Mytilus edulis: one gene and its partners. The protein of the gene in region 1 binds, or shares a complex with, the protein of each later gene. Links are inferred from orthologs where the notes say so. Each region holds a gene or a part of one and is shown in the gene's direction. Other genes may lie near its edges. The genes, in order: DNA polymerase delta subunit 2-like, DNA polymerase delta subunit 4-like and DNA polymerase zeta catalytic subunit-like.

What was found.
Region 2: DNA polymerase delta subunit 2-like (region 1) and DNA polymerase delta subunit 4-like share a complex: the UniProt entries of both Homo sapiens proteins name them as parts of the tetrameric DNA polymerase delta complex. The link is inferred for Mytilus edulis from reciprocal best matches to the Homo sapiens genes POLD2 and POLD4.
Region 3: DNA polymerase delta subunit 2-like (region 1) and DNA polymerase zeta catalytic subunit-like share a complex: the UniProt entries of both Homo sapiens proteins name them as parts of the tetrameric Pol-zeta complex. The link is inferred for Mytilus edulis from reciprocal best matches to the Homo sapiens genes POLD2 and REV3L.

The regions. Positions count from the first base shown.
Region 1 is NC_092352.1:36,394,710-36,401,751, forward strand, and holds the start of DNA polymerase delta subunit 2-like, read left to right. Parts: upstream 1-3,403; 5' UTR 3,404-3,480; coding exon 3,481-3,706; intron 3,707-4,914; coding exon 4,915-5,036; intron 5,037-6,509; coding exon 6,510-6,633; intron 6,634-7,042. UniProt on the Homo sapiens protein: Accessory component of both the DNA polymerase delta complex and the DNA polymerase zeta complex.
Region 2 is NC_092349.1:58,947,810-58,954,851, reverse strand, and holds the start of DNA polymerase delta subunit 4-like, read left to right. Parts: upstream 1-2,558; 5' UTR 2,559-2,664; coding exon 2,665-2,752; intron 2,753-5,634; coding exon 5,635-5,727; intron 5,728-6,330; coding exon 6,331-6,442; intron 6,443-7,042. Other genes in the region: transducin beta-like protein 2, read right to left, coding at 2,141-2,264. UniProt on the Homo sapiens protein: As a component of the tetrameric DNA polymerase delta complex (Pol-delta4), plays a role in high fidelity genome replication and repair.
Region 3 is NC_092353.1:64,605,214-64,612,255, reverse strand, and holds the start of DNA polymerase zeta catalytic subunit-like, read left to right. Parts: upstream 1-2,996; 5' UTR 2,997-3,103; intron 3,104-5,601; exon of another isoform or gene 5,602-5,624; 5' UTR 5,625-5,649; coding exon 5,650-5,788; intron 5,789-6,458; coding exon 6,459-6,645; intron 6,646-7,042. UniProt on the Homo sapiens protein: Catalytic subunit of the DNA polymerase zeta complex, an error-prone polymerase specialized in translesion DNA synthesis (TLS). Lacks an intrinsic 3'-5' exonuclease activity and thus has no proofreading function.

The DNA.
Region 1 (7,042 bases):
TGATCATGACATCAATAGCAACACAAGAAGATCTGTAGTAATAACAATATTTTCACCGAAAGTTATGTTTAAGAAGAGGGAAAACATCACAAAATAGGATGATTTATTTTAATTTATTGTCTGGAATCTTATAACATATATATAACATATATATATATATATATATATATATATATATATATATATAAGTAATTTTTATCCGATCACATTTATAATAGACATTGTACATTGATAATTTATTTGTATATACCTATATATCATTATCATGTATTCATCGTCATGGTTAAGGACATTCATTGAATGTTTAATTACATATGTTGATATTTAGGCTTGGTTTGTCTTCAATTGTTATTTTTTAGCCTTTGTTTTTTTTTCTTGTTTTTTGCTTGTCACATTTAAATGAAATGATGTAACTGCTTGCTTCTTTTTATTTTCATATTTTATTAATAGAAGACAAAATAACTGCCAGCATTATTGTTTTCACTATCGTATAAACTGCATAAAGAATCTAAAGTGTCATTAAGATGTAATATTTAATATTTGCTATTTATCAGATCATAAAGTTATGGTGTCATAAAGAAGTCAAAATAAGTCAATCAGTAAAGTAATACAGCCTTTTTCCATTGAGTGTGTCAGTAAAGGTAATATCTTTGGTTAGCTAGCTTGTTAGCTGAACCATGAAGTCATTATTAGGTCAGGTAAACTACCCTCCTTTAGAGGTAGACTAGGCCGACATAACCAATTTATCTGTCTGTAGGACTACTTTGAAAGGAGGGAAGTATACCTAACCTAATAATGACTTCATGGTTCAGCTAGCAAGCTAGCTAACCAAAGATATTACCTTTATCTACACGCTCATTGCAATCAGCTGTAAAATGAATACTTTTTTAAAAAGAACTTGAGCATTGAATAACCTCCCTTTACTCTAGTGTGTAATGTGTTGTTGATTTTTTTTCATAACAAGTAAAGATTATGTTTCTTTATCCCTTTATCTTATCTTATAAATCACTTTATCAAAATGTATTTAATATAAAAATTAAATAGGATAGGTTTGATGTTATATTATGATTGATAAGTATATCGATTTGTGTCAGCTATTCATCTGTAGACAAAATATTTTTTTAAGAAATATTGAATCTACAGTATATTGTAGATGCACATTTTAGAATCTTGGTAACACAAAAATTGTCTCTATACAAAACTCTGGAAATATTAACTTTGAATGGTCTTCCTTTACAAATAAATGGTGTGAATGTGTGTGTGTACGGAGACAAATGTATTAAGATTATCAAAGATGTGGGTTTTTTTCTCTCTCTTTAAACAACTTCTTTGCAATGACATTATTTATTCTTTATAGTTGTACATTTCTTTAAAAGGTATTATTTACTGTAAATATAAAAATGTTGATTCTCTTGATTCTTTTATTCAGAAAATATGTCTCTATATGTTATCAGAATTACAGTTTTATAAATTGATTGAAGAGGTTAAACAAAACTAAAAAATGTGTGAGATAAGCATATTGCTTTTCCTCCTTGTGTAATCTTTGACAAACCTGCAAATAGCATTATAAGTCTAAAAAATGTAATTCTCAGGTACAGTTTTTCATGATTCAAAAAGAACTCATTGAATATTTTGAATTTCCTTGTCTTTCAAAAAGTAACTTTCGATTGATATGATGATGGATCTCTATTTTCTACTTTGGACACATAATTTTTGCTTTCTTTAACTCAATGAAAAACAAAATTGATTGAAAGGACATATTTTTTGTTCTTGTTTCCTCTTTAAAGATTTTTTTTTCCAGTTTGGCTGTAAGTAAGTTTTAATGGTAATTTTATAAGGAATGTGTTTAACTTGATGTTAACAAAATCATGAGTTTATTTATTATTTTGACACAGAATTGATCTACTCTTTCTTCTTTGATCTTCTTTGTATTGATATATTTGTTTAAATTTTGACATGCATAAAGGCACAAAAATAAAACATAAACAATTTGTATTCTGTTTTGATTTATTTAAGCCATAGAAATATTGAATATGAAATAAAACATAAGAAGATTACGAGGAATCACCAAAAATATTAGGCAGAACAAAAGACCACACGAAACACAAACATCTGACTCCTCTAAAAAAAAATAATAGTGTAACTGGTTCAGATAGCCTGACTTGTTACAATATACAGTGGGATTAAACCACTTTCACATATGCTCAAATGCTGCTATTTGCATATCTAGCACATATGTTGTAAAAATTAAAATTGAGATTGGAAAAGGGGATTTTTTTCAAAGAGGCAAAAACCCGACCATAGAGCAGAAACCAGCCAAAAACCACAAATGGGTTTTAAACACAACAAAAAAATCCTGCAACTGAAACCTCATAATAAAACACAAAATGAAAATGTTATTCAGTATTTGAATAAGTTAAATGTAGTATATGTTTCAGAAAAGTGTCCTGTGTATACTCCATATCTCTTGTTTCTAGTCTCAGTGGATTTTATTATAATTTGATAAGAAAGGTTAAAAGAGTTAAATGTAGCAATATAAGATCATGTTACAAAGTGGGAAAAAAAAACTATGTAAGCATTTGACTTGTGATTATGTATAGACATTCTCAGATCTGCATTGACATCACAACATGTAACTGACCAATCAATGATTAGCATTTGTGTTATGTAAACAATGTTGAGAGGTGATGCGGATAAGAATCCTCTAGATTTTCCATAGACTTCAATGCAAATTAATTTAATTGATATATATTGACACCAGTTGAATCTAGTACTTTTACCAACTTAATATTGTTAAAGACACTATATAATGTCTCTATTTTGATTTTAATCATACTATATCCTCTGGTTAAAAAATAATAAGCAATATAAATAATCAGTTATCACCTTCAAATAGATGAAAAATCTAGAGAAATCCTATCTGCATCACCCCTTGAAAAATTTAAATGCCAGGATGTCCGGATCTGAGAATAAGTGGGAAGAGGCATAGAGGTGAAAAATTTATAAGTGGAAACAGTTTGTACAGCCAAAAATTGTTCCATGAAATTTCTATAACACATGCAAAAAATTCAAAAACTTGGGTGTAATAATATGGGCAACTGCACATTATGACAAACAGTGTAACACAGTATGAAAGTTATCAAGAAAACAGTTTTAAGAGATGGCTTCTCACTGTGTCCTTTGCATATACATTGTAGGTCATTGTATATGCCAAAATGGTTAATATTTCCTATATATTCCTAATAATGATGAATCCTCATAATTATCAATTACTTAGTAAACAAACAGGAATTATTAGAAGGTGTATAATAATCTTGAATATAGTCGGACTCATTTTTGGACGTTGCATTCTTTGATTTGCTTGATTCATTTTTGGGGTAAGTTGTCAAATCATGCAAAGAATTTACCTTCACGTTAAAGAGTTCCGCTGGCGGGAATGTTTTCAGTTTCTAGAGTTGTTATTCTTATAAGCACACAAACATGTTACTTAATCCCGAAAAAGGCACTACAAATGTTGGAAAACTACTGACTGAACCGACAGAATCATCTGATGCAGATTATGTTCGATCTGATTGTAAATATGAAGATTTGTCGGAAAGATTTCGATTGAAATCAAAAAACTTTTCAAGACAATATGCTCATCTATATGCTGAACGGTTGTGGAGTATGAGGGACAAAGTAGTGGATGCTGCTAAATCAAAGTGGGGTAAAAAATAACTTGAACATGCCAGAGAAGCCACCATTTTTCCTGTTTTTTTTCTCCTTCTGAGTTGTTGTTTTTGCTTTGTTCTGTATTTTTGAAACGCTTTTCACTTTCATAAGTATGCTTTTGGTCGTGCAACATCACAACATTAATTAATATGTATATTCACGCAAAGCTTGTTGTAATTACTGCAGGGGGTCTAGGGCCAAGTGGGGAAGCTGAGGGGTAACTGTCAGAAGCCAAATCCTGCATTCTTGATTTCTCCTGGCAGATAATTTAATGATTTCAAACACCATTTTTTTTTAAACAAAGTTAACCTTTTTAAATAAAAAAGAAAAAAAAATCAAATGTACATGTACATGATGTAGAAATTGAACCAGTTGACATATTTTCTTTCTACTTTAATTTATATTTCAACAGAAAAGTCGTTTGCAAAACCCATTCTGGTTGGATCTTTGTACATTGTATTTACTCCCTTTCGCCAACAATGGCCAATACTAGCAGAAATCCCTGTGCAGGTGGTGCTCATCATTATAAAACATTGTCGCATGTTGACTTACACACGGGAATTGACATAGAATTATGTGGGGGAAACAACGATGTGTATGATTTTTCAGGCATATGCATATGAAACAAATAAAGAAAACGATAATAGTTATCCAATAATTAAACACCTCTGAGAAATCAATGTCTAACCTTAGTTATACACCAGAACAAAATTTCATATTGCCCAGGGAACAACTCCATGATGTGTTTCACTTGCCCATCTTAGATTTTACTTGCTTAGCACATATATATAATTGAACCCTGGGTATAAATCAAACTTGTATAAGTGCAGAACAAATGGACAATGCAATGGCAAGTAATTAACAAGCGACATAAATCAGTATACAAAACAACAGAACTATTAAACTACATGTATAGACTGATCAACATAAACCTCACCAACAGGGGGGGGGGGGGGGGGGGGGAGGTCTCCTGTGCCAAAGAAAGGTAAGCAGATCCTGCTCCACAAGTGGAACCCATCATGTTGCTCATCTCAGTGCAGACTGGGTTGCACATTTCTAATTCCAATTTTAAAAGTCTTGGTTCAATATTTTTTTAATCTTGAAAAATCCATGAATCAGTTTAAACAATTGTTCACCATTTAAGTTAATCTAGATTGGATAACTGTATATGAATTCACATGTATTTTATATTTTTATTTGTAGGAAAAGATGTAAATATAAAGAAGTTGCATGAGTTGCAAAGTGATGAGAAATGTGTTATAATTGGTACCCTATTTAAGCACATGGAACTTAGACCTAGTATCCTGAAAGAATTAAGTGAAGAGGTATAATTGACTTGATTGAATTCAAGTACATCAAATTCACTTTCAAAACTTAAACGTGAGAATAAACGTTGGTAATGGCATATAATGTAGCTAGTTGAATAAAGTTTTGTGTTTTAGAAAGATGATCAAAACTGTTGTCTATATTGTACATTTGTTTATATACATGTAGGTACAGACTCGGAGGGTTTCATTATTGTTTAAGTGGACTGGTACGTTTCTGATTTTATCAAGAAATTTTCTATGTTCTCTATGAATATCTTGTATGAAAATTAATTTCTAAATTAGGCAGTACCAAACTCTTGTTAAGCAGAGTAAAAGTATGGTTTAGTACAAAGTACTGCCTCTTTGGTGTAGGTCCACATACAGCCTTCAACTATGAGAAAAGCATATGTATATTCTATGTTGTAAGCTTAAAAAGGCTCCAGCATGACAACAAAAGAGAAAATGAACTGTCTGATTTATCATGTTTATGCTAAAACAAACGAGAGAAAAATATAGCAGAAAGCAATCATTGACCACCACTGAAATACAGATTCCTGATTTTGGACATGCACTTAAATAATATGGCGAGTTAAAGGTGATGGTGAGCAGTCATACATTGTACCTCCCACAACTTGGTACAGAGGTGAAACATTACTACTTTCAAACAAACAGTTGGAAAATGCTTGACTCATCAGATTACCACCAAGCTTAAAAAATGTGCCTACTTCTGTCAAACGGCTTGATGGATGTTAGTTGAAGCTCATATTTAAAGCGGTGTATTAAATGATGTATTCCCTCTGCTTCAAGCTAAAGGGGAGATAATATATATTTTAAGTATTTCAGTGCAGTTATCCTTTTATGAGTTCATTCTTAGTTCTAGTTACTGTAAATTAAGGTTACTTTTTCATGTTGTTAGACAATATTTCACTGTTGCCCATAAATGCAGCAAAATTTGAATAACTAAAGAATAACTAGGCGAATGATACTATATACATTTTTTGAAAAGCTACATATTGCCACAGTAATTATATCATACATTTCATCACTGAGCATCAAAATCTGCATCAGCAGAATGAATTGTATGCAGAAATGAAGACAGAAATACTATGTACATCAAGTAGGCTTTTTTTTTAATTTTTGATACACATTTGCTGAGATTGAATACATTATAATTAATATCTTTGTTTTCTCACAGTCAAATTGAAGTGGGTCATGTTGAGACTTGTATTCCAATCACTAGTCCAATGGAATTTTAAGATATACCCTTACAGGTTTAAAATACACAAAAATGAGTACAGTGCAACATGTGTAATCCGACACTGGGGGACCAGAAAATAATATCAAATTAAGTAGGGTGTTGGAATACTTAGGTTTTTTCTGCGAGGTAAGTCATATTTTGGGACCATGAAAATGTGTCGGTTAAAGCAGGATGTTGCAATACTCAGGTGTCAGATTAGAAAGGTTACACTGTATTGAATGTATTTTTTTCAGCATAATTTGATGCCTCAACCAATTAAGTCTAAGTACACAGATAGTAATGATAAATTGATCCTTGAAGATGAGTTACAAAGAATTTTATTAATTGGAAAACTAGATATACAGACTTCAGTGACAGGTATTTAGAAATTTAAATGCTTGTGAATACTTTCTGAGATAGTTGTAGGAAAATAAGATGCCAACTAGCAACTAGCAGGATCATTGAATTGTGAATTAACTATTTAGTTTATTTTTGAAAACAGTTTTAACAATTTTAAATGTTAAATAAAAGTGCATTGTTGAAAAGATAAGAGCAGTTTTTGTAGTTTGTTTTTTGTGGGTATACTCTTGATGGCAGGTATACAGTTGTATAAAAGATTCAACTTATTTATGTTATCACATCCAAATTCATCCAGTTGCCCAATCTGTGAAATGTGCATATTGCAATCTATTATTTGACCAAAATATGTAAAAAAACACACCATGAATTACATTAATACGTACATGTAGCATGATCAACTAGTTAAAATATTCACATTGTTTATATA
Region 2 (7,042 bases), on another chromosome or scaffold:
ACCCTTGGTATTGGTATATATACTATATTTTTAGATGATCGTTTCATGCTTTGTCCAGCCAGACTTTTACCGGACAGAATACAATTGTCCAAAATATATGACCGTTTTGGAAGCCCTGATACAATGTACATAAATTACTTTCTGTATTGCACAAATTCATATCATCCTGTTGTATATTGTAATGATGTGGCTGTATAAAATCTCTTCATAAAAGTAAAGGAATTAAAAGGGGGCGAAAGGTATTAGAAGAAAATTCACTCATCAATCTAAGGAATTAAAAGTTGCCTTGGTCATGTTGGTCTCTTATTTTCATATTCTTATTGATAGTGTTGTTTAACTAAATGTTGTTAAAAAAAACAATACAACCTGTCACCAAACTATGTATATATCTGCCTACCCAACATGAGGAAACTCTTCAGTGGTTGTTTTAAGTTACATATCTAATAAGCATATTTTTTTTATAAAGAATTTGACATAACAACAATTTTACATGACACTTCAAGTCACCTAGTCTTGACAGGAATCCAGGTTGGTTCACCCTGATTCGTGTTCGCCCTAGTACCTGTTCGAATGGACCCAGGGCGAAAGTGTAATCAGGGCGAACAGACCCGATAGTCGATACCATCATGACAGTGACCAAAGTTAAGGTTCATCATACCAAATGGACAAATATGGCTGTATTTTCACCTCAAAAACTACTCTGTGTACAGACTTACTTGTGCTGATTGGAAAGTTTTAAGGCCTAGCATCCACTAGATATATAAAAGTAAAATGCATTTTATATTTAAGAAAGATAAAATCTTTCTTGGTTTTTGATGGGCATTTTTTTCCTTTCTGCAGAAGGTGTAAAAATAAACAAACACCTGAATTACTTTGATACTGTCCACTCACTGACTCAGATAAACTCTTTTTTTACTCACCTGTAGTTGTGAAGATACCTCTTGTCCATGTCAAGTAAGGACAATCAAAACAATACAAACCCATTTTTTACCTGAGGGAGCATCTCAAAGTTGTACCACAACTTAGTTAATTTTCACACCATATGCACGAGGGGAATAAAATGCCCGTCAAAATCCAAAAGAAATTTTATCTTTCTGAACATGCTGAAACACAAAATGCATTTAAATTTTATATATCTAGTGGATGCTAGGCATTAAAACTTTTCCAACTTCACAAGTAAGTCTGTACTCAGAGTAATTTTTTGGCACGTTTATACAGCCATATTTGTGCGTTTGTTATGATGAACTTTAAAAAAAGTATCTGTCAACATAATTTTAATAATTTGCCCTAATCTTGCACAGTGACTGTGTAACAGCCACTATGTTCCGTCAGTTACTCTGTTCCGGTTGAACTTTTCAACTAGTTACTTTATTCCGAGTGCAGTTGAAAAGTTCCGGAAAAAAGTAGCTATTTGAAAAGTCTCGGAACAATGTAGCTAGTTGAATAGTTCTGGTGGAACAGAACAACTAGCTCCTTCGGTCAGAATGTTGCCTTCATAACGGAATAAGTTCTAATTTATTTTCATACATTAATCTGAAATTGATATTTTTAAAAGTACCCATATGAGGAGGAACTTTTGGGCCAGTTTGTTAGTTCCGGTTGTGACTGATTTGCCAAAGAGGAACTTTGCGACTAGTTGATAAGTTCCTTTTGACTTTTGTAATCAGTATCTTGGTTCCACTTTGAAAGGTTCAAATATAATATCTTGCGCTTTTACTTTACACCAATTCTCCAAATGGAACTTTGTGACTGGTTGATAAGTTCCGCTGGAACTTTTGGGCTAGTTTGTTAGTTCCGGTTTTGACTAATTTGGCAAAAAGGAACTTTCTAACCATGCTAACTGCTTGATATGTTCCGTTGGTTTCAACTAGTCACTTTGTTCCGGGAGAACTTTTAAACCAGAGGAAGAACAAAGTAACTAATTAATAAGTTCCTTCGGAACTTTTCGGCTAGTTCTTTCCAACGTCGGAACAAAAGAGCATTTACAACTGTGCATGAATAATAGTTTTTAAGTAAGAATAATGCACTTGAACAGTTCAAATTTCTTCTCAATGAGTATAAAGCTAAAGCTTTAATGGTAAAATTCCATATTTTTTTGTATTCTCAATTTTATCACTTAAGCCCAAAAATAAAATAATACCATCTTCATCCTTTTTGTCTGCACGTCTTCCGACACTGCATAAAAGAACGAATAATAGGACTACAGCTCCAACTGCAGCAGTAACTGCTAACGCCGGTACTGAGTTTTCTGCAGAATCCGCCATGCTGATGAGTTGGAAAATATTTTTCGATATTCCTCTTACTTTTTCATATTTTGTGTGGATATCGCCGAAGATTTACGATCGTTTCAATTTTAAAGATTTTAAAATAAAAATCGAATTTTTGAAATTATTAAACACAATTTTATAAAAATTATATCCTATTCATGATAAACATAATTCAATTCTTCTCATATATAATATGTTAACATGTAAAATTTTAAAAAAAAAGTTAAAATTTTCTTTTATCTTAAAAATAGAGATTTCACCAATTTCGTTTCGTCTAATATTTGGAGCATTAGATAAACCGAGATAAACATTACCTACTTTCGCTTTTGAAGGAAGCTGAGTTTGCAAATTAAAGTGTCAAGTTATAACCTGTAAACATAACCTAAGAAGCAGAACAATGAAAATGGCAACACGTTCTTTCATTACCAATTCTTTCAAGTCTGTCAAGACTCCTAAAGGAAAAGATAAAAAGGAACCAACAAATGGTATTTTAAAAGCTGAATTTATATATATACGTAAAATATATTGATAATTATAAAAACTAGAAGCATATAAAAAATGATAGACCCCTTTAGGGATTCTGACTGCAGAGCAATTTTTTGATTTAACCACTTTGAGAGTGACCAAATCAGAAAATGGCTACTGACTCAGGGGATCCCAAAAGGGATTCAGAAATGTAATCCAACTTAGAAATTGGTAATTTTAACTCATTTATTGTAATACACCTTATCGCTATGTGTCCGCCATTACTGGACATCACACAAGTTCCTGTAAAATGTTGACATGAAAATACAAAATATCTGACACCACAATAGAAAAGTGGTTGTTGTATGATGTCAATAATTCAAGCAGGACAGATTCTTGGGTAAATGGGTAAGCTGGTAATAGTGTATATGTACACATGTAATTAACCATATAATTAAAATTGAGAATGGAAATGGGGAATGTGTCAAAGAGACAACAACCCGACCAAATAAAAAACAACAGCAGAGGGTCACCAACAGGTCTTCAATGTAGCGAGAAATTCCCGCACCCGGAGGCGTCCTTCAGCTGGCCCCTAAACAAATATACATGTATACTAGTCCAGTGATAATGAACGCCATACTAATTTCCAAATTGTACATATATATTGTTACATACACAATCTAACAAGTTGAGATATATAAACACCAAAAGATGGTGACAATTCTAAAAATGAATAACTAACATTAGGAAATGAAAAGTCACCTCTTTTATCATAAATACTGGTATTTAGCTTCCCATTAAGGATATAGATATCAAGATCCAGGAAAGGGCAGTGTTCATTGTTAGTATTAGCATGGAAGTATTATATTGACAGGAACTCTAACAAGCGGACTTCAAACGTTTATAGTGCGATGCCGCAAAATCGTTAAGTATCTGTTATAATGAACTTGACATGTCTTATGGATGCATGGGTTCCGATCAATTTTTTGGAACCTTGTGAATGATTGTAATTACAGAACATACCGAAATAACCAGATGTGTACTTAATTCAAGGAAATGACATTTACCGACCATGTGAATGACAAATATGTTAGTTTTTACAGGATTTGCTGCTTAAAAACAAATAAAAAGAAAATAAACGAAATCCCGCGACTGTTTTCACCAAAAAAAAAAAAAAAAAAAAAAAAACTGAAGAGTAAAAATACTCACAAGCCATAAACATTTCAGTTTAAGTTGCAATCAATTTTAAAATAGTAAGATTTTTATTCATGAGAGAGCCATTGACTAAACATGCGTAACTGTTATATACATGGTAGGCTTGAAAATCATAAAATTCTCATGTAAAGTAAAAGGAAAAGTTTTTATCAGTAATTATTATCGCGTTTTACTGCTAACTTTGACAAATATTTTAATAAAGTGTTTAATGAAAGAATTTCAAACAAAAATTTAATCCAAAAGTTGGCCGGGGGGACGGGGTTAAAAAGCTTTGATCCGAAGAAAATATCAAATATTTTGATTTATTGTTTACTAAAAGTCCAATGGCAAATATTTCATGCAATTAAACAAGAAACAGAAACATAAATTGCTTAGCATACAGTGTAAGATGTCACAGTTCAGAACTGTTAAGCTTTTAAACACATAAATAAATTCTAATTTGGTTTCCATGATAAAAAAAAATTAAACTGCATAGGGCCCATCATGGTGATCGTTCTTTAAATGCATCCAGAAATATTAAAAGCCATCCTTAAAAATAAATCTGTCAGACGTCAGATCGAGTAATCTCGGACTAGGTTGAATATTTAAGGTTGTTTACAACTTTGGAATTATCATAAAAGGTGTAACAATTCATCTGCATGTCTCGTAACCTGATATTGCTATGTAGAGGTCATCACATGTGTGTAATTATTAACCTCTTTTAGTCTTTAAAACATATTTGATAAATAAGTTAATAACATTTTACGATAGAGAAAACCATAAATATTTGTGTAACACTCGATAAAATTTTACAATCTTTAAACTAAAATTTGAGTTATCTGGCACCATCTGGCACACTACAAGCGCATCACATTATTTTCTGTTACCACTCTTACTTCAGAATCATGTAATTTTCATAATCGGATATTTCCTGTTTTCCAAGTTCCAATGATTAAAACATACTCAACAAAACTAAAAATAAGCTTGCCCTTTTTCCGAATGCAGTTAATTTTATTATGTCATTCTGTTAAATATGGACCAATTTTTTCGATCTTTTCAGCGTTGTTCTTCATTTATTGAACGGAAACAGGTGTTGTTGTTTATGTGGCAATTAACAAATAACCACGGGAGTTTCCGTGTTTATTTACATTGGTAGGTAGATAAGACAATCAATATTAAATCAAGTGATAAGACCAGCTTCAGTTAAAAGAACAGGCGAAGGTGGCATCACAGATACCCCACAAAGGAGTTATCACGAACTTGTCAAACTGAGTCGGAACCTTTTATTTTCTTAAAGAAATCAGTGGGATGGGAATGTGCTAATTTTTCGTTGGAGTTACTGTCAATATAATACTTCCATGGTATTAGCTTTATTTAAGGTCAGGTAGGCAGGATAAATCTCTTTAGTGTACATACTGAAATCATTGTTGAGATCCAATATCACCCAAAGGACTAAAAGTGTTATTAAATTTTTGAATCAGATGTTCTTTCGATGGTCTATGCTGATTTTAGTCATAAATTCTAACTCATATTAATACAGAAGTATATAAAGTGTAATTTTCCAAAAAGACCAGTTGAGATGAAAATATTAACAGCAAAAGTTGAACATGTACAATTACAAAAATGTCCAGGTATTAAGTTTTTGTTGAATGATATGAATTTCATTGATTTATTTTCACATGTGCATTATCTTTATTTTGTATTCCAGATGGCCATCCAAGCACAAGTAAAACAGATGTAGAAGATGAATTGAAAATACTGAGGCATTTTGATGTCACATTAGAATTTGGTCCATGTTCAGGTATATATTGTTTTATAGAATGATATTCCATCATTAAACAAATTCATATTTGTTTGCCCCTGAAGTGGAGAGGGTATTTAGTTTTACCCTTGTCCAACTGTACATCTGTCCCTACTTTCATACATCCCGAAATTGGTTCCGTTCTCTATCTTTAGCTTGCCACAACCAAATGTTATGAAACTAATACACAATACTTATTACCACAAAAGGACAGATAAAGTTTGAATTTGGGTGGGGTTCACTTTTACCTTTCTAGAGTTGTGCCCCTTTACCAAAACAAATTTTTCATTTCTATTCCCTAACTTCAGTTTGTCTCATTCAAATGTTATGAACCTTATACCCAATACTTATTACCACAAACCACAGACCAAGCACGAATTTAGGTAGAATCACTTTTACAGTTAATGAGTTATGACCCTTTATAGTGTAAAATACATCATCTGTGTCTCGTGGAAAATTCCAATCTTATTTATTTTAGGTAATTTCACTCATAGTCTATTTCATGAAAAAGAATATGCTTCTAATATAGCTTTCATCATCCAATGTTCAACATACCACATAAAGTCAATAAAGTTAACCTTTTACATACATTGTACATTTTAGGAATAACAAGAATGGAAAGATGGAAGAGAGCAGATAAACACGGCCTGAATCCTCCAGTCATTGTAAAGGAAATCCTAGATAAACATTTAGACGATGAAGAATACACAGAATGGTGAGATATATATAATATTGTCAGAAAAATAGTTCATATATACATGATATATATAATATTGTGAGACAAAAAAGTTCATATTATAGGGTTATTGCATGAATATTAGGGAATAGAGTAAAATTTTATATTGCACGAGCTTGCGAGTGCAATATATGTTCTACGAGGGACAATATTCCCCAATATTCATGCGATAATCCTTTTATTGAATAGCAATATAATATTTGTAAGTAAAAATTAGTTTAAACTAAGATTTTGTCTTGATGACGTCATGAATTTTGAAGATTTATTGCACTAGTGCAATATTGGAACTTATTGCACGCTAACTTTTGGTTACTTTCTGTGGGAAATATGATATTGCTATGCAATAAATACACATATTAAATCATATTTTTTTATTGACGAATTTTATTTTAGAAATATTTAAAATAAGGCTACCTCAACTTCTACTTTGAAGTGAAAGTTCATAGGGAAATAGTTTCAATGACGTTTTCCTTTGGGATATAGTTTACCAGAAGCAACAGTTTTCCCCAAATTTATTAATCTTCAGGTGTTTCTAGTTTTGACATTCAGTAACTTCGATATCAATTACAAGTAATGTTT
Region 3 (7,042 bases), on another chromosome or scaffold:
TCAAACTCATAAATCGAAAATAAACTGACAACGCCATGGCTAAAAATTCAAAGGACAAACAGACTAACAATAGGACACATGACACAACATAGAAAACTAAATAATAAACAACACGAACCCCATCAAAAACTAGGGGTGATCTCAGGTGCTCCGGAAGGGTAAGCAGACCCTGCTCCACATGTGGCACCCGTCGTGTTGCTTATGAGATAAAAAAAATCCGGTAAATAGTCTAATTCGGTAGGTCACATTTATGAAAGGGAAGGGGATTGTAGTTACGACGTAAGGAACATATCCGATATCATTTGTGAAACGGTTATTCCATAACGGTCAACCAACTCGTGATGGCGTCCGTAAAATTTACGAAGAGATGATTTCAACTTCACCATTTGGAACTCTTGATTTAAAAGCTTCCTTGTGAGCAACAACCCTCTATCAAGAAAAGCATGATAAGAAATGCAAGCACGGGAATATCGTATCAATTGGGAGATATATACACCGTATGCAGGTGCTGCTGGAATGTTGCTACTTACAAATGGAAAGTTCACAATTGGAAAGCTGAAATCATCTCTTTTGTCGTAAAGTTTTGTTTTCAATCGACCCTCATTGTCAATTTCTAGATGTAAGTCAAGATATGAGGCCAACTTAACTGTATCTGTTGTATCCTTTATCTCTAGTTCAATGGGATAGATGCGTTCGACATAGTCACCAAATTTTGAATTATTTAGTGAAAGAACATCACCTATATAGCGGAAAGTAGAGTTAAAGGATACTGCTTACTTCTTGTCTTTCTTCCTAAGAAGTTCCTGTATGAAGTCCGCCTCATAATAATAAAGAAACAAATCGGCAAGAAGAGGGGCACAATTCGTTCCCATTGGAATGCCGATAGTCTGTTGAAAAACACGTCCTCCGAACGTAACAAATATGTTGTCAATCAAGAAATCAAGCATCTTGATAATGTTAGTTTCGGAGAATTTTTAGTTTGAATCAGAGTGATCCTTTACAAAGTAAGATTTATCCCTTCCTAAGACAAGAAACTTGTATATTCGTTGGTCATTCTTTTTGATGAAACAAAGCAATACCAACTCTTTCAATTTGTATTTTAGTTTGGAATGTGGAATACTTATATAAAGTGTAGAAAAGTCAAATGTTTTAATACTATTATAAGATGAAAGAGAGTTAGATTGTATGTACTCTAAAATATCTTTGGAATTTTTAAGTATCCACATCTGATTCACGCCACCTCTAGAATAGGCAGTTTCACAATAACTTTGATTGCCGAGTGATAAAATAGATGTTAATAATTTAGAAAGAGGTTTCGTGGAGCACTTGGAAGACCCAATATACCGTTGTTTGTAAGGACACTTATGCAGTTTAGGTATCCAATACAGTGATGGAAGATCCAGTTCATCATCTTTGGTTGAAATTTCAAAGGAACATAGAACAGACCTATGATTATCCAGGAATTCCTCCTTTGGTAAGTGTCGTGAGGGTATATGTTGGGTTTCCAAGTGAATTGTCAATACCTAATTCGTTTATCAAGCAGTTGTAGCAGACAGAGTTATTAGTTAATTTTTAGCTCCCTTTGGTAAAACTCTAAATTTCATATTTGATGTATTTCATTGTTAATTAATTTACATGAAGCTTATTAAGGATATATTTGTTAAATTAAATAGCTTTTTCTATTTTAATTCATTGGTTAAAGATATTTATTTATATTATAAAGTTTAATATTTGCATCGTTGCAAATTCTTTGGTTACCTTCTGTAAGAAATTTATATATTTTATATAAAAAGTTTTAGATTCTTCATTTGAACTCTGGGATGATTGACATTTAGTTGAACCATGGACATTCCAACCAAGATTCATGAGGATAGTGCATTTGCTACATGCCTATAGTACGGGTTAATTTGAAGTGTTTAATGCTCCATTTCTACACGTTTGGCTTTACATAATAAAAGTTGTACTTTGTTGAATAAATTATATATTGTTTTCAGTTTTTGGTTTTCATTTACTTAGATATATTATAGCGCATCACTTTTGGCATCAGTCGTTTTCCGCACACATCAGTTTACAAACTAGAATTAGCTGTGGTCCGCATACCCGAATCTTAGGCAAAATTGTTCCTGCTACACAGTTAATGTACAATGTAATGAGTTTTACACACAAAAACGATGTTGTTTGGGGCTTTATCTGCGGGGACAACAACATATTTGTCGTGAAGGTGTTAAGTGTTTTGCAACATTAGGGTCTCTAAAGATTGACGTAGCATGGGCATTGATTGAACCATTCAGTTTCTTAATTCTGATTTGTATCAACGACCTCACTGCCTTAATCCATTCGGAAAGAGTGTCTACGTCTTCCTTCTCACGCTTATCCCATTGCCTGGCATAGTTCTCGACTGAATCCATCAAAATTTTAAAATTGTATTTCCAATTGATGGATTTCGACTCACGATATTTTGGACCTTTCGTTAACACATTTTGTAGGGAAGTGTTATTAACAATGTTAAAACATGCATAACACAGCTCACATTCTCATATATCTACATTCATAAATTTATAAATGTCATTTCGACTAAACGACGCCATGTAATTGTTTGTTTTGTGCCTCTCCCGTCTAAACCACCTATTTAAAAAGAAGAGGTGGAAATAGAACCAGAAGATCTTCCCAATGAAAAAAAAAACAAAAAAAGAATGTCTTCTGGTTCATTACTGAAGAACAAAAGAACACGCCCCTGTTAATTGTAAATGGGAACGTCTAAACACCGCTCAGGCCGACCTCCTGGGTGCACCCAGGACCCTGTATAGTCATCGTATCTGCACACAGGATGGATGTATATATATTCGTTATACGCTTCTTATTTTCGAGTTAATTTTTGGTAGAATTTGAAATCGAACTTAGATAGAAATAATGAGGACACATGTCACTGATTACACAACCATTGACAACTACTGATCACTACTGAGCCGGGTTTCATACCGAAGTCCGGGTCCGGAGTCCGGTCCGGTCCGGTCCGGGTTTCAGTACGTACCACAAGTTTTCACATTGACACGGATAGACACGAGATGGCGCTGCATATAACAATCACAATCAGCATTCGATGGTCAGTAATCTCATAAATTAAACAACACACAAATCATTTCCAGAAGCATGCATCATTTTTCATACTATTGTTTATTTATTTGAATAGAATGCAGACCGTCACACCAAGACATATGCACGGTACTGTTAATCCGTGACATATGTACTTATGCCTGCTTTGTGGATTTTTCAGAAAGCTTTGACACTGGTATCAAGTTTATAAATTTACCATCTGCGGGAGTAGGTACTTCATTATAAAAATAACACATAGCTGAGGGGGGTGATAGAGCTGATTGGTAGCCCGAGAGGTACCTCGAGAAAGCATTGTCAACCGTGGCAAAGCCAATGTTGACTGCTTTTTCGAAGGGTACCAAACTGCTCTATCACCACAGGAATCAGAAGTTCTATCAATAAAATTCTGTAAATAATAGGAGAAGCTCTATTTATAGTCGACTTTACAGAATTTAATTGATAGAACTACGAGAAGCTCTATTGATAGTCGATTTTATTATTTAAAGAATTTTATTGATAGAACTTCCGATTCCTGAATCCTGTGCTATCACACTCTCAGCTCTGTGTTTATTTACATGTAATTTATTATACTGAATGTCCTATCATTATTGTCTTTTACAGATGAACTTTTTAAAAGTATTTTCTATGACATGACACATAACAACTTACACGTATTAGAAGTGAAGCAAGATGTTTTATTTTTTTATTTTGACAGTCAAATGATGCAGCTTAACGCTATTCCCGGGTGACCCTAGAATCTGTCCTACTTGAAGTATTGACATCACAAAACAATAACTTTTCCATTGTGGCATCATTTGTTTTGTATTATGACGTCACATTTTTACGGGAACCTTTGAGATATCCAGTAATGGCTGAGAAATAGCAATAAGGTGTATAGAATCTGAGCCAAAACGTAGAAATTACTCATTGTCTTTAATAACTTGATGTAAATTCAATTCATTCTTCTTTAAAATGTAAATTTTTGATTGGTCTGGATGAGAGGGTGACATTAAAAAATATTGTCACCAGCTCAGTCATATACTTGATAGAGTAATTTAACACCCTCGTATTAGCCAATCAAAATATGGCATTAAAGTGAGGTATAATAATTTATAATTATTAAACACATGTATATTTTGTATCAATCAAGTAAATCTTGTGTTAAGAATTAATCCAGACAAGAGTTAAATGTAAACAAGGGGACAATTTAGTCTAATCTGTAATATTCAAGTAAATTATGTTCATTGGGATTGCCAACCTTGGAAAGAATATAGTAGGGATAGAAATGATATGATACAAGTGTTGCATGGTAACTGGATGATTTGAAGTCTGCGTTAAATGTTGACAATTGGAACCCGAATAAATGTTTATGTTAATGTCAACTGCACACACCTAAATAAGTTTTTTTTATAAGTATAATATATATAAATATATTATTATGAGACTATTATGCCATAAGAAATTGCATTACGACAATCCAAGAAGAGGGGTTAGTAGAAGCCATTGGCTTATTTAAGTAAACGGAGATCCCGAGATAAAGATATAATATATATAAAGTATAAATGACTTGCCAGAGTATTTACAAAAAAGTGGAGACCCTGTGAATTGCTTATTATACACAGACGATTTTGTCCTTAAGGTTCATGTAGGGTATAAACTTTTTTTTTTTTAACAAAGGATTTCTCTACTTTTTTCTAAAAATAAACTTAATCCTATACTTAATAGAAAAGTACAATAAAAATGTGGGGTTACGTTTAATCATGTAAGCCCACAATCTGCCTTCAAAAGAAGTATGCAGTTTTGTCAAGGTACTTTTTTTCTGTTGAACTAATTGGAGCAGAAAACATGGATAAGGTAAAAAAGATCTATATTACAAAAATTGCTAAAATTTTACAATTATAATTTAGTTTTAGTACAGCTTATATGAAGAAAAAAAAAAATAGGTCACCATTGAGTTGAGAAAGATTTTCAATATTAATGCAAAAAAAGGCATTATTTCACCAAAGGGAGATAATTTGGAGCTTTTTCAATGATATAAACATTTTAAAAATCATCTGGGGCCAAAATGAATTGATTTTTTTGGTTGATTTAAATGATTTTTGTACCATATCATAATATAAATTTACAACTAATACTGTAATAAGTTAAATTTGAAATAAAAAAAATATGTTTAAATTTTTGCTGAATTTTTGTACCCTGGAGCCTCTGTAAAAAGTAAAATCACAAAAGTGATCTTAGGAAAATTCTAAAAGGAAATTCAGTAATTAAATGGCAATATCAATAGCTCAAACACATAAAACGAATGGATAGCAACTGTCATATTCCTGACTTGGTAGACATTTATTACACAAAAAATAAAATATCTCTGTTCATTCAAGTAGGAAATGATCATAATTTATAAAGTTGTTACTCCCAATCACCATCAATTACCAAAGACTTTTAATTGATGTGCACTTTGTTGTGTGATGCAATCAATTATTTTGATTTTTTATATTTTTTTATTTAAAGTCTTCATTTGAATGACTTTTTAGATCTGTTTGGAATGTTAAAGGTGTGATGTTTTCACTGAGAATAGTTGCTACTGACCATTATTTGTGTCCTCCTATCCCAGAATTGGATGTTCGATACTCTGATTTGACACAGTCAGAGATATGGAGAGTCCCTGTAATTAGGGTATATGGATCAACTCCAAATGGTATGTATGTCAAGTAAATGTATCAGAAGAATCCTACATGTACATGCCTTAGTCACCCTATCTTTGGTTGACAATCTTGATACATTGTACTGGTAATAAATAAATAGTTGAAAACTATAAATTTTATTTAAACTTCTTACTAGAAAAATACTTTTTTAAGGTAAATTACAAATTCATATAAACCTTTATGCAACTTTACTTATACCAATTCTGTTCTGTTCTGAACTTCTGGTATATACCTCCGTTTTCTCAGATCACTCCACTTATCAGATGAGCATTTTTTAATTACTTAACTTAAAAAGAGGATATCTTTTATATACAATGTATTTACAATATGATAAAATATAATTTGAAAACGAAATAAGTTAGTTAAGTTGCATTAAATAAGGGTTTAAAATGTCTTTGGTGCGTTAAGGTTCTAGTCGATAAGTGCTCTGCCAAGGCTAATGTTAAAAATATATAACAGTATCTTGTATGCTAATATTTTTAGACTGAACCAGTTAGCTTGGCATTTACCCAGAGGTCAAATTATAATTTTACATATTGGTGTTACACTTTTATTGTCAAGGCTTAACTTCATTTAAAAGAAAGGAGGAATGTTTGCTTTAGCACTGTCAAACATTTTATAATTATAAATCAGATTTAAATATGATCTGACTTTTATTGATAGGTCAGAAAACATGCATGCATGTTCATGGAGTGTTTCCTTATTTGTATGTGCCATATGATGGAACCCAACCATGGGACCGTTATCTGAAGTTATTTGCTAGAAGTTTGGACAAAGCTTTGAATGTTAGTTTGAATAAAGTCAACTCTAATACACAGCATGTTTATAAAATCAACCTTGTGTCAGGGATGTAAGTATGCAAATGTATGAATTAGAAAATGTGTATTTAAACAATTGTATTATTGCATCTTTTGACTTTGTATTGTTTGTGTACGCTCAAAAACTTGTGATATTTTTATGCCCCACCTATGATAGTTTATAACTTTAGGTTGCCTCAACCAAATGTTATGAAACTTATACATACTGCTTATTACCACAAAACACAGATCAAGTATGAATTTTGGTGGCGTCTCTTTTACAGTGCTAGAGGTTGCATTTCTGTAAATATTGACAATGCAATTTCCCATAGGAACTCCTTTTACGGCTAAAACTGTACCACTTTTACTATGAAGTTTTGAAAAAAATCTTATCCTAGAATTGAAAGTTCATATGCACCACAATTTTTTTCAAAGGTCAAAATATAGGGC